Linked DNA regions of Bombyx mori. The protein of the gene in region 2 binds, or shares a complex with, the protein of the main gene of each other region. Links are inferred from orthologs where the notes say so. Each region holds a gene or a part of one and is shown on either strand. Other genes may lie near its edges.

Region 1 (3,966 bases), on a different chromosome or scaffold from region 2:
GATCATTGTGGACAAGTGCACTCTGTTTTGAAATTTACCATACTTTTTTAAAGCAGCCTAACTGATTTTTTTTACATTAGAAACATGATGACTCTCCTTCTGTAAAAATAGCTTTCATATGAGTTTGTGTGTAGTTATTTTTCCTTTTAAGTCTTAATATTAAGAGTGCAATTTAATTCGTTATTAAAATAAAACCCCCTAAACGTTATCTATAATATTATTATATTAGAAATAATTACATTTTAAAGTATCATGCCCTTGCAGTCCTTGCCCATTGTTGAGATGTAGAAATTTAAAAAAAAACCAAATTAATTGTTTGCTTCTAATAAGGACTATTTGTTTGATATTTAAATTATCTTTGATCTTACATACTCTGTAATAAATATTTTTTTCATTTTTAAAGAGGAAATTTAACTCATTTTTATTAAATTTAAAAGTTGTTTATTTATGCATTATATTTTTTGTTTAAACAAATGAAATTAAGGACATTTTCAATATTATAAAAAAAACATGGGTCATGTGTCACATTTATTGTAATTTTAATAGTGGCATTTAAATTAAAGAGCATCAACTTAAGAGATAACAAAATTATTCACAAACTTCTTTTGTATTGTACATTATTAATACCCAATAAGTCAAGATATGTATCTCGATATTAGAAGCACAAAGTCAAATAAATATCTTTCATTTAGATTTTTTTTTGTGTTTTTTTTTGTAATTATATTAGTAAGTAGTAGTCTCAGTAGTGTACAAAAAACACACTAATGGGAAGTGAGACTGAAGGAGCTTGGTAGAGTTTTTTACTATTGGTAATACTAGTGTCTTAGAAAACTTCAAATCTACCTACTAAAGATTGTTTTTTTTTTTTCATAATTTGTTTAACAATCTTATCGTAATCTTGTTACACAGATATCTGCCATACAGACATCAAATTACATGTCGAAATAACGAAATAATAATTATGAGACCTTAAGCCCTAATTCCGAGATATAACAAATAATTTTCTATAAAATACACACTGTCTATAATCACCATTCCGCATCACCATTAGCCTTTTGGAATACATAATCCTTTCCAGCTAGATTCATGATTCCATCTTTGAGATAGAACTTCCACCTATTGCGACTGCGTGTAATTTTATCATATTGGCAAACAACTACATTATCAGTATCAAACATGTCCCCTGGCTCCTCATCAGATACATCATCACCGGAATTTAGGGGTTCTTCTTCAGCACCACCACTTTCATTTTGTTCTTCTTCTTCTTCTTCTGCCCGCTCTTCGGGAGAATCGTCATCATCATCATCATCTGCTGCACCGTCTTCTGAACCATCACCTACGTTTGAGCCATCATCATCAGAAGAGTCCAAAGCACCATCTAAAGAGAAAGGAGCAGTTCCACTGCGGCCGCCTCCGCCGCTATCAAAATCACTTTTTTGTCCTGCTAAAGCCGAGTTGATATGTTGTTGCAGTAAAGTAGCAGCTAGAGGTTGTGGAAGGCTAATGGTAGCATTTATTATAGGACCTGTTAAGACCTGATGCAGTTTGTTGCCGTTCAGAGCTGATGCTGGAATTTGAATGGTAAATGAACGAGGCTGGGACCCTGGAACTCCAGGTTGAGCAGGTAATGTAAGCTGAACTGGCACTTTATTATTAGGGTCTAGAATATGATGAGTATGCGTTCCAGCTACACTAGATGCTGGTGCACTATGTTCTTGTTGCCCCGAAGTATGTCCCATGTCAGTTCTTTTATGCACTACATTACTACCATTTACTTTTTGGAAATTCTGTAACACTGGAGGAGGTGGCAGCATCGGCTCAGGTTGTAACGGGTCCGTGGCTCCACTGGCTTGAAGCTTTGTCTTCCATAGTTGTTTTAGTTCTTGTAACACTTGTTCGTCTACACCGTCATCTAAGAAAGAATTTCTCACTCCGGATATCACGTCGTCTACCACTATGTTGTAAAGTTTCAATACTGCGAGCTGACTCGTTGTCATTTTGCAATCGAGCTGTAGTTGAAAATTGTTTAACAGTGTAAAATGTTCACAGAACTAGATATTCTTGTTTCTAAATCTGTTTAGTTTAGTTTAGAGCCGATTATTTGTCTTCTGAGTTCACATCGCAACATTTCAATGTCAAATTTCTGGAATTCACACAGTTTGTTAATTCACTAATGTTGATGACCAATTTTATATATTTAAGATAATATGTGGCTAAAGTAGCTTATTTTAACTTTTATGACGTCCATTTACATAAAGAGAGACAAATTTATAAATTCACCATAAAAATTTTGACAATTGATCACTCAAACATAACCTACAAACCGAGGAAATATTTCGTAGCCTTTAAAGAAATAATTGTCTATGGTTCGTTGATTCCGACATTGAACGACGACAAAGATGGCGCATGCGTTATGAGTACGAGAAATAGCACCGCCCCGCACCGCGCCCCGGTTGATTACGTATTGGTGAGTTTGCGCCTTGGGTAGTTGCCTTTAAATTGATTTTACGGTTTGAAAGGAAAGAGCCACCACTTTAAAATTTCAAAACAAAATTGGCATATCTAAAATTTATTGTTATAACATTGAATGATGAAATTTAAAAATATAGAATTTTCACAAAAAACGGTATTCATTCAAAAAAATTCGTTACAAGCCAATTTTAATGAAATTCATTTCTACTTAAACCATTGTTAAATAATATTGACTAAATAATATTTATATTTTATTTATATTAAACTATTGCACTGTTGAGTACAAGCAACGCAACACTCAATTTTATCTTGTACTATGAAAACTTAAAGACTTCATTCTTAATAAAACCGCATAATAGGACGTTTATGAAACAAGAGTAACTATAAACTTAATTGTTATTTTAGATAGATTTTTCAGTTTTTCAGTGGTTGTAAAAAATGTTGATTAAAATTGGTGGCATAGACAATAATTGAATTTTAGTATTTTTGTGGCGGGAAATCCAAATGTTGGAAAGAACTTTTCGTCTTTGTCGAAGCTTTTCATTTTTTTTGTAACGAATGACGTTGAAGTTTTTATATTTAAAATAGGGGCTTAAACTTATATAGTTGAAAAGGTAGTGTATAATAATATGCTTTCGTTATTAATTTGACATCAATCATCATCAATTCATTTGACTCAATACATTTCTTTCTGTGACAGATTTTTAAAGCACGACAATTGGTAAGAAGGTATTCTAATGGAACATTCTTATATATTCTGACTTCAATATAATATTAAAAATTTATAAATATCAAAATATGAGGGTTACAGTACTCATTTACCTCAATTTTCTTTTAGTAAATATTGTAACGAACAAAATCGATACCAATGCCGAATGAAACACGGTTTTTTCAGTTTATCAAATCAAACTTCTCTTGATAACACAATACAGCACATTTACCGTAAATTAATTAAAGGTAAATTAAAAGCACAGCTAGTTATTTCGGGGAAATAACGTCATCTGTCAGTGATTGGTGTGTATCTGTATAGTCCGCGGTCGACGCGGTCTAGTGGGGACCGTGTTGGTTTGTTCGTCGGCTAGCTATTTGCAGCAGATCGATACGTTCCAGAATATCATTACTCGCTCACCTGAAGTCTAAATTAACGTAGGATCAAACTAAAATTTGTTTACTATTCACTATGTGTTCGCTATTAATGTAGAATTTTGGTTTTATGGCAGTTCAAAAACCATCTCTTGTCGAAATTTGCAACATTTCGAAAGTTTCTGTTTTTAATGATTTAATATACATTATTATTTTTTTAAATATTTAATAAGTAAAATTTTCCAACTATGTACAAGTTAGCAAAATTATTTGGGTCAATGATAATAGAAATTTATGTTAACTACAATTAAAATTACAATGCTAACTAAGAATACCGTTATACCTAATTTACATTGCTATTAATAACTGTGTTATATCAATCAAGGATAAGTACTAGAATTTTTAAGTGTC
Region 2 (4,247 bases):
TATGAGTTTTATTTTGATTTTTTTTTCGAGAGATTTTTGGGATTCCTTGCTACTTAATTTATGTACATAGGTGAACCATCAAAACATTACTCTTCTCGATCAAAATTACCTTTATGGTTTATTCACAAATTGAAGATTTTCGTATTCTAATTTTGGAGTTTTGCAATGTATTAAATTTTTATGGTTCATCACTATGCAAATACGAGTTTTTTTTTTCATATCTCTGACTCATCAATTTCAAAGAAATTACTGTTAGTATTCCTCTTTGATATTGCGAAGATGGCTGCCATCATAATACAAAATTCCCTTTGAAAATAGCAGTTGTAGATTGCAGAGGTTTATTTTAGTTTTTGTAACCGGCTTACAAGCATACGACCAGCCTGATGGTGAGTGGTTTCCGTCGCTCATGGACAGCAGCAAGCCCACAGCCAAGTTGCTGCCTACCTCAGAGTAACACCTTCAAGCCACGTTTGAAGAATGACATATCATAGTGCTCAGGAAGTACTGTGGAGTAGATTTAATTCCAGAGCCGGATGGTATGTGGCAAAAAGATATCTGGAAACGCACTGACGATGAACGCATGGTTCCACATAGTATGGATGAACAGTGTGCAGATAAGGTTTTCATGCATTTAATAAATATATATCGATATATGTACACATTAGGAAGTGGCTAGTTATGAAAATACCACTAAAGCTATATTTATACATTGAGTTTCCAAAATACAATCAAAACCACAAAGTTTTACAATTAAGGAGTAAAAACCAAGACACTTATTTTGCTCTCTATTTGGAGAAAAATGTGCATTCTCGAGTACTATGTAGGATACTTTTGATTAGTTAATGATACATACCCGCCTGTACAACAACAATAGCCCTATGAATATTCTCTTCTTGCATTCTTGTACAATATGTCTTTATAGTTTTTATACCAATTTTAGCTTCATCAGGAAAGAAAACAAACATCTGATCCGTTGGATCATCATTATGAGCCACTAACACAATCAAATCACTTCTTGCTGGTCTTTTCTCACTAAAAAAATTAAAATGCTGTATTAATTTCTAGATTTCTTTATAAATCAACTCAAAGTTGATGATTTTCATATTAATTTCATCATTAACCCACAGATTTCTATTGTTGGCCATGAGTTGAATGATCTGGTAACATAAATTTCCAATTATTCACACAGTAACTACATAATCATTTACTATAGAGGTAGTATTTACATTATTCTCTTTGACAACAATCATTTTTATAAGTCAAAGTGACATTTCATTGTGAAATATTTCGATGCTAAATTACACACTTTCAAGAATTTTGAAAGGACAGCTGAAGAAATGGAAATGTTAGATAATAAATTTAAAAACAGTCTAGTACATCGCTCTCTATCTCAGACAGCTCAGTTATATTTTGGTAAGTCAATTTAGTACACAATAATTTTGGTAGAAAACACTCATTATATTGTGATTCCTTAAAAGTTTGCCGACTTGTGCTGACTTTTCAAATTATGAACATTTTATTAAAAGGCTGTTAATGTTCCAAAAAAGTTTTTGAGCAATGAAACTGATGAAAGAAACTGAAAGTAAATTTAAAGATGTTAATAGTGAGAACCTATTAAATTTGGAGATTCCAATAAGCTTCTAAGAAAGATAACAAGTGTTAAGACAAAAACGTTGAATTGCTCTGTAGCTGGATCTGAAACTTAGCAGTACTACAATACCCCTGAACCAAAATGATGGGTCAGTAGTGTTTACAAATCCATATTTGTGTTTTGATTTCATACAAGAGACCTCACTTGCAGCTACTCAGTACTTCAAACTGGATTCAAATTATTCTGACTTGAAATTAAACAACTTGTACAATACATATGTAGGGACAAATTAACAAATTATTAAAAGTTAATTTAATGTTTGGACCATTGAGGCTGATTTGTTAAATATAAAAATATAAAAATTCAAGCTACCTACAATTAGCTTTAAACTGAATAACCCTAACATTATACATATGGATTGACAATGGAAAGATCTAAACATATTTTATTTTTGACAATATAAAACGGTACAGTGCTATCCCACCATAAAAAAACATGTAGCAGATTCAATTATAGTGGACAACTTTAAAATTACAACAAAATATAACAGTGAAAAGAAAATAGAAACGGGGTCTGCAAACTCCACTGATCTTGCTGATTAGTATTAACCGTTGCCAGATCTTCAATCCAGACGCATAAATGTGTCACTGCATGATAGTTTATTTAATACTGTATACGCAAATTATAAAATTAATAAATTTTTTGATGGATGCATTGCTCGTAGCCCGAAGTCCGAATGCCTTTCTGGCTACACTAGAGCGTATCAGATTAATAAGGTTATAAGAACAATAGTATACCTTGGTTTATCGCCAAACTGCTCTTTAAATTGTTCTAAAGTTTGGTCCAATTCATCTTGCGTGACTAAATATCCTCGGTCATGGCACAACTGTAAATATTATGCCTCGGTTACTGTTAGAATCCAACCAACAAGATGAATAGCATCAAATATAACCTCACCTGCATTACAGTTTTACGTATACGCCAGAGTTTGTAAGTTTCTGCGTCATCATCCATGTTTTATAATCTACTTAAAACTGATAAATCCCTTTCCTACAAACGATAATTTCATTGATTCTCTTGTTATAGCTAGGTATTATTACCTGTAAATCCTGTAATCATAAGTGTATAATCTATGCCTGTAATGTTTTTAAAGAATATTGTTTCTTTTGACAGAATACAGATACGCAAAGGAATCACAGTCCATACAATAGATTTTTTTATAGCAAAAGCCATTCATGTCTATCTTTTGAAAAATAATTGATCTTGGAATGAAAATTAATAACTTAAAATATTATTAATTGATGAGATATATACAGCACCGTAGTTGTTAGATGAGATGAAATTAATGAACCTCTCATTAACTGTTCGGAATTTACTGACAATTTAATAAATGAAAGAATCCGAGAAACTGAATTCGGCCACTTTATTCTGTTTTCAGCCCCCTTTTTCTAAAAACTATACGGTTAATATCCATTTTAAATCTTTAAGCTTTGTTGTTTTATCCATATTCAAAGGCAGTATTCTTGGAATTATTCATTTTTAATATATTGTCATCATATTTACATAAAATGAATCATGGTCTGCAATATCCCTTCCTATGGCAGACGCCATCGGAAAAAATGTGCCATGGTGGCAGCCTCCCGCTCCGGTCATGATAAAATAAACGCTTAGCTGGCAGGCGACCGGAACGGTCAGTAATTTGATGCCGCTGTTTTCATTCGAAAAGCGCACTTTAAAACACGTTCTGCAGTGTTCTAACGCATACAACTGCTAGAACGTTAAACAAAGACAAAATATAGACGCTTTCTTAAGTAAACTTACATATGTTTTTAAGAAAAAAAACCTCATTGTTCCGGACTTGCTAACGCGGAGTAGTTGGAAGTGTTTGTGCGTCTATTTTCAAGTGTTTTTAAGTGGTTGACGACAGTATAACGAGATAAAGTTTTGAAAAAGCGATGGAAAGGTATGTAATAAGCATATTTCTTTGTTTTTGTACGTGTTTTGACACGCTTTTCGTGGTAAAACATTGATATCTAACACCTACTCAGGCTTAGCACACGCTCATGTCGGCCAAACAAACCATTCATTTAGCACCAAATATTGGTAGATTTGTGTAATTTATGGAAACAATGAAATAATTACTTAACTATTAACCTTTTCCAAATTGTAAATTTATTCAAATCTTTCATTAATTAGAGAAATATCGAATAAAATAACACGCGTCCCTCCACTGACCGGACCGGGACGATGACAGTTAGGTTATTTCGGGCAACGCGGCCATTTTGTTCGCTCGCTATCATAATATGGATAAGACTATTGGATCTACTTTTATATGGTGTTTGGTTTGCTTTGACAAATAATTTGGAAAACTTTTTTTTTATTTCTTTCTTTTTTTATTCTTTTGCACTTGCGCTTTATTTAAAACTAATTTGAATGTCTTTTTCCTGCACCCAGTTAACTGCATGTGGCTTATGTTGCGCTTTTGATTGGATTTTCATAGTGAGAGAAGTTTGCGGGTGAGGGGAGGCAGTGCAAGAGCAACAGGCGTGCGCACTCGCGGAGGTCGTTCGAGTGTTGCCACACGTGGTGGTTCACGAAAAGGAAGGGTACGAGGTAGAGGAAGGGGGTGCCCGCGGTCTTCTGTTGAACAGAGGCC
Region 3 (4,076 bases), on a different chromosome or scaffold from region 2:
ATTACATAATTCACTAGGACCTCTTGGGAGTCCACACGGGTAGGTACCACCACCCCGCCTATTTCCGCCGTGAAGCAGTAATGCGTTTCGGTTCGAAGGGTGGGGTAGGCGTTGTAACTATACTGAGACCTTAGAACTTATATCTCGAGGTGGGTGGCGCATTTACGTTGTAGATGTCTATGGGCTCCAGTAACCACTTAACATCAGGTGGGCTGTGAGCTCGTCCATTCATCAAAGCAATAAAAAAAAATGCAATTAGATGTGTTTTTTTTTATGAACATCTAATTTTAAATTCAAAGTCACTACTATTCTCAGTTTCAAAGTATGAACAGTATTATCAAAATTAGAATATAATATATACAGTGAAACAGTTTCTTTTGGCCTTTATTTTTTTTATTAAGACAATGATTAAATTTTTTGCTTAATAATGTGTTAATAATTTTATGTTTAGACAAATATAAAATCATCAGAATAGTATTTATTACCTTTTGAAGATCCTTAATATTGTAATACTGATGTTTCTCAAATGCTGCAAACAGCATATTGAGCACTGCTTCTTTATCATCACGAGCCTTTTTCCCTTCAGCCTTCTTCCTTTCTTGGTAGTCAATCTAAATATTTTACGAAATTTTAATATACAAAATTAAAAAAAGCATGATTAACATAATGAAATGAAATAAACTTAATAGAATACAAAAAGTAAAACAACTTAAGAAATTTTAAAACCTGTTGTTATTCATTGTGTCACTTGTGAAAAGTTTTCTGGTTGGTTTAAGAGCTCATAGAAAGTAAAAATATACAGAGCCATTTGTTTTTATTTACTGATGTTTATAATTTAATTTACTATATAGATGAGTGAAGAACCCCGTGGTCCACCCAGTGTAAAGTGGTTACCTCACTAGTCATCATAACATGAATAGCACCAAAAACCTTGAGAAGTCGAAATCTCAATTCTATTGTATGAGGTTTTCCTTCAAACCAATGTGCTTAGTGTGAACTTTTTAACTTCTCGATCAGAGTTGGAACAGCACCCCAAGAAGCAAACGCAGGGGCGCTATTCCAACTTCATACAAATTTGAGTTATTTTTTAAATATAAATAAATATAAATATAAATATTTACTAACAATCACGCCACGTTAACTGGTCCCGTGCTAAGTTCGTAAAGAACTTGTGTTACAAGTACCAGATAACGGAAATAAATATAATATTTTATTATACACATACATATATTTAATGTACACCCATAACCCTGGAAAGACATTTACATTTATCATACAAATATCTTACCTTGGCGGGATTCGAACCCGCGACCTCCTTGTGTAGTGACCATGTCACTTACCACTACACCAGACGGCCGTTTGATCAAGAAGTTAAAAACTCACACTAAGCACACAATGATTTGCTGTAAACATAAGCAGGAGCAATATCTACACACACCCTACTATCTGTACCAATACCACACATATATGAATGCCCACCCATCTTCAGATAAAAGGTGGAAGTACCTATTGTATTTTATACCAGCTCAAGATGCAAATTTTACAGTCTTGGCCATCCCAAGCTACTAAACATTCCCTATTTACCGTTCCACCATTCCAATTATATCAATCACTACTTATGTCCCATTAATTCCTAACCTATGGAGGACTGTTATCAGATAAGTAGCTATCAATAACTACACAATTTATAATTTTTTATATTGATCAATCATGTTTTTATTTTCGAGTTTGTCTAAATGATAACTTTGCTATACAATGGGAGCAGACATTGCTGCAACCTGTATTTTAATACTTCTAGTAGAATTTATATGAAGCATTTCATTCAACAACATATCCAAAGAGTATTGAACTGCATCTGGAGATCTCAGAGCTCTACACATGCTCTATTTAAAACTTTTTAATCATCTCTAGTTTGACTTCCAATGCAGTCAGGGGCATGTTTTAATGATCAGTTGCTGAAAAATACAGTAAATCAATCCTTTAGATTTCAACAGTAAACATACATTATGTGGATGGTCAGATACTGGTTTGAAGTTCTGAACAATCCTGTCAAGCTGTTGCACTTGTCGCTGAGGCATGGATGCTTTCTTTATTGATTCAGATTTAAGCTTATAGTATGTCACATCATCATTTGGTCTGCATTCCAATTTCTGTACAATCCTACCCTCCATGTAAAGGTTTTCTGTCTCTGGTACTACAGAGTCCGTATTTGTCGCTAAAATGGTTATATTATGAATAAACACGATTAATATAATATCGAACTTTAGACATGAAATTAATTTTATCATTGAGTTCACCAGGACATGTTAGGAGGCGTTAAATATAGATAATTATGAGACTACTTACGGGCAATATGCGAAAATACACCTAGAGATTGAGTATTAACGTTTGAAACATCAAGCTTATGTTCTTTTGGTATGCTTTGTTCACCAGGGTCCTTTAAACATAGCACTGCTTCTGACAAGGATAACTGCACTTTAGCTCTCGTTCCTGGTACTCTGGAGATCTTTAGTTTTCCTACCTCAATGTTTCCAGGAGCTTTTTCCCATTTGTTTGCTATATATTTAGGTACTTTTACCAACCATACTCCTCTACCAGTATTTGATAAGTCCAATTCGGTCATTGTTGTGGAATATAAAATCTATTAGCAGTCGATAGCGGACACTATTTTAACGGCCTTTAAAAGTACTAAAGTCGTAAAGATTTCCTTTAACTATAACTAAATCTTAGAAAATTTACTTGCACTTCCACAAAAGACCTACATAAGTGACAGCTCTCGAAAATATTAAGTGTATAATCTATGGTGACAGCTTAACCACAGATTAATATAATAAATACCGTAAAATGGGGCGATTAGGGATTGAGAGGCGAATCGGGAAAAAACCGGGAAAATCTTGCGACGCACAATATTAGTTTTATATTCGTTGCAAAATCTTCCATTTTTTGTAGTTTAATAGTAGAATGTTGAAAGTTCACAAAAAAACTCTGAATATGCATGATAATAGCTGCTAACTTATAAAAAATCGCGTTTCAAATTAACTTCCTGTGTTGGAAATTATTTTAGTGCTAGAAACTTTGCTCTCTTTTATTTATTTGATAATAATAGAAGACGACTGTGATTTATAAACGTTATTTAGTGTTTGAACCATCATATATATTAAAGGTAAGTCTCAGTTGTTATTGGTTTTAATGTATTTGATAAAATAAAAATACATGTAAAAATCTGTTGTTTTGGGGGATATTAGGGACGTCTTAGGTACAAATAACAACGAAAAAGGGGTCAATTGGGATGAGAATACGTGAAATGGAAACCACCTAAGTATAAATAGGTACAGGTTTGTAGGGTTGTCTATGTAGTTATAACAATATTTTTTAAATTTGTTGGTAAAAATCTGGTTTATTCATGATGTCTTTGTCTAGAACTTTTATTTAAAATTATCAATGTGTTATTTTATTGTTTGGTAAATATATTATCAGTTACGTATTGTTTTCTATTTTTAGATATGCCTCGCGTTTACGTATCAAAGAGTGCAAAGCCTTATAAGAGATATGATCCCTTAATATTAAAAACAGCAATAGAAGCCTATGAAATTGGGAATAAGTCTTTACTTGAAATAGCCAAGCAATTTAATATAAGTAAGTCGATTTTGCACAGACATGTAACAAGAACAATGAAATCTCGAGGTGGACAAAAATGTCTAAGTAATACATTATAAAATATTTAATATTTGTTCAGAGTGGGGGTATTCATCTGATTAATCCATGGAATAACCGACATAACTAATCTCTTAACCCAGATAAAAATATCAGCCCCTAAGTACTTACCAAGACCGAAGAAATATAAACCGTTTATAAGAAAGCTCACTCGTTCGAATTTAGGTGCTTACTCTCCCATATACAGAATCCTTTGGGACTACAATAATGTCCACGGTAGCGTGGTCTCCGTCAATGTTCATTCGGAGTTGTCCGATTGCGCTGAACTAATTTTAAGTGATAAAATAGATGTTTTTTTTAATTGTCTCACAACTTACAGGACAAATCTGTCGTGGATCATTTCCCAAGTAAATATAAATTAA

What was found. Proteins that work in one complex are often made in the same cells at the same time.
Region 1: DNA-directed RNA polymerases I, II, and III subunit RPABC1 (region 2) and transcription initiation factor IIA subunit 1 share a complex: the UniProt entries of both Homo sapiens proteins name them as parts of the TBP-based Pol II pre-initiation complex. The link is inferred for Bombyx mori from reciprocal best matches to the Homo sapiens genes POLR2E and GTF2A1.
Region 3: DNA-directed RNA polymerases I, II, and III subunit RPABC1 (region 2) and general transcription factor IIF subunit 2 share a complex: the UniProt entries of both Homo sapiens proteins name them as parts of the TBP-based Pol II pre-initiation complex. The link is inferred for Bombyx mori from reciprocal best matches to the Homo sapiens genes POLR2E and GTF2F2.

Annotation. Positions count from the first base shown.
Region 1 is NC_085117.1:13,410,904-13,414,869, reverse strand, and holds transcription initiation factor IIA subunit 1, read right to left. Parts: upstream 2,520-3,966; 5' UTR 1,998-2,519; coding exon 1,029-1,997; 3' UTR 516-1,028; downstream 1-515. UniProt on the Homo sapiens protein: TFIIA is a component of the transcription machinery of RNA polymerase II and plays an important role in transcriptional activation. TFIIA in a complex with TBP mediates transcriptional activity.
Region 2 is NC_085125.1:6,611,191-6,615,437, reverse strand, and holds the start of DNA-directed RNA polymerases I, II, and III subunit RPABC1, read right to left. Parts: upstream 2,801-4,247; 5' UTR 2,606-2,800; coding exon 2,549-2,605; intron 2,478-2,548; coding exon 2,389-2,477; intron 1,416-2,388; coding exon of another isoform or gene 1,338-1,415; exon of another isoform or gene 1,288-1,337; intron 1,033-1,287; coding exon 854-1,032; intron 1-853. Other genes in the region: piggyBac transposable element-derived protein 4-like, read left to right, coding at 3,547-3,554, 4,092-4,247; leptin receptor gene-related protein, read left to right, coding at 1,338-1,415. UniProt on the Homo sapiens protein: DNA-dependent RNA polymerase catalyzes the transcription of DNA into RNA using the four ribonucleoside triphosphates as substrates.
Region 3 is NC_085110.1:12,712,201-12,716,276, forward strand, and holds the start of general transcription factor IIF subunit 2, read right to left. Parts: upstream 2,816-4,076; 5' UTR 2,624-2,815; coding exon 2,347-2,623; intron 2,216-2,346; coding exon 2,004-2,215; intron 612-2,003; coding exon 486-611; intron 1-485. UniProt on the Homo sapiens protein: TFIIF is a general transcription initiation factor that binds to RNA polymerase II and helps to recruit it to the initiation complex in collaboration with TFIIB.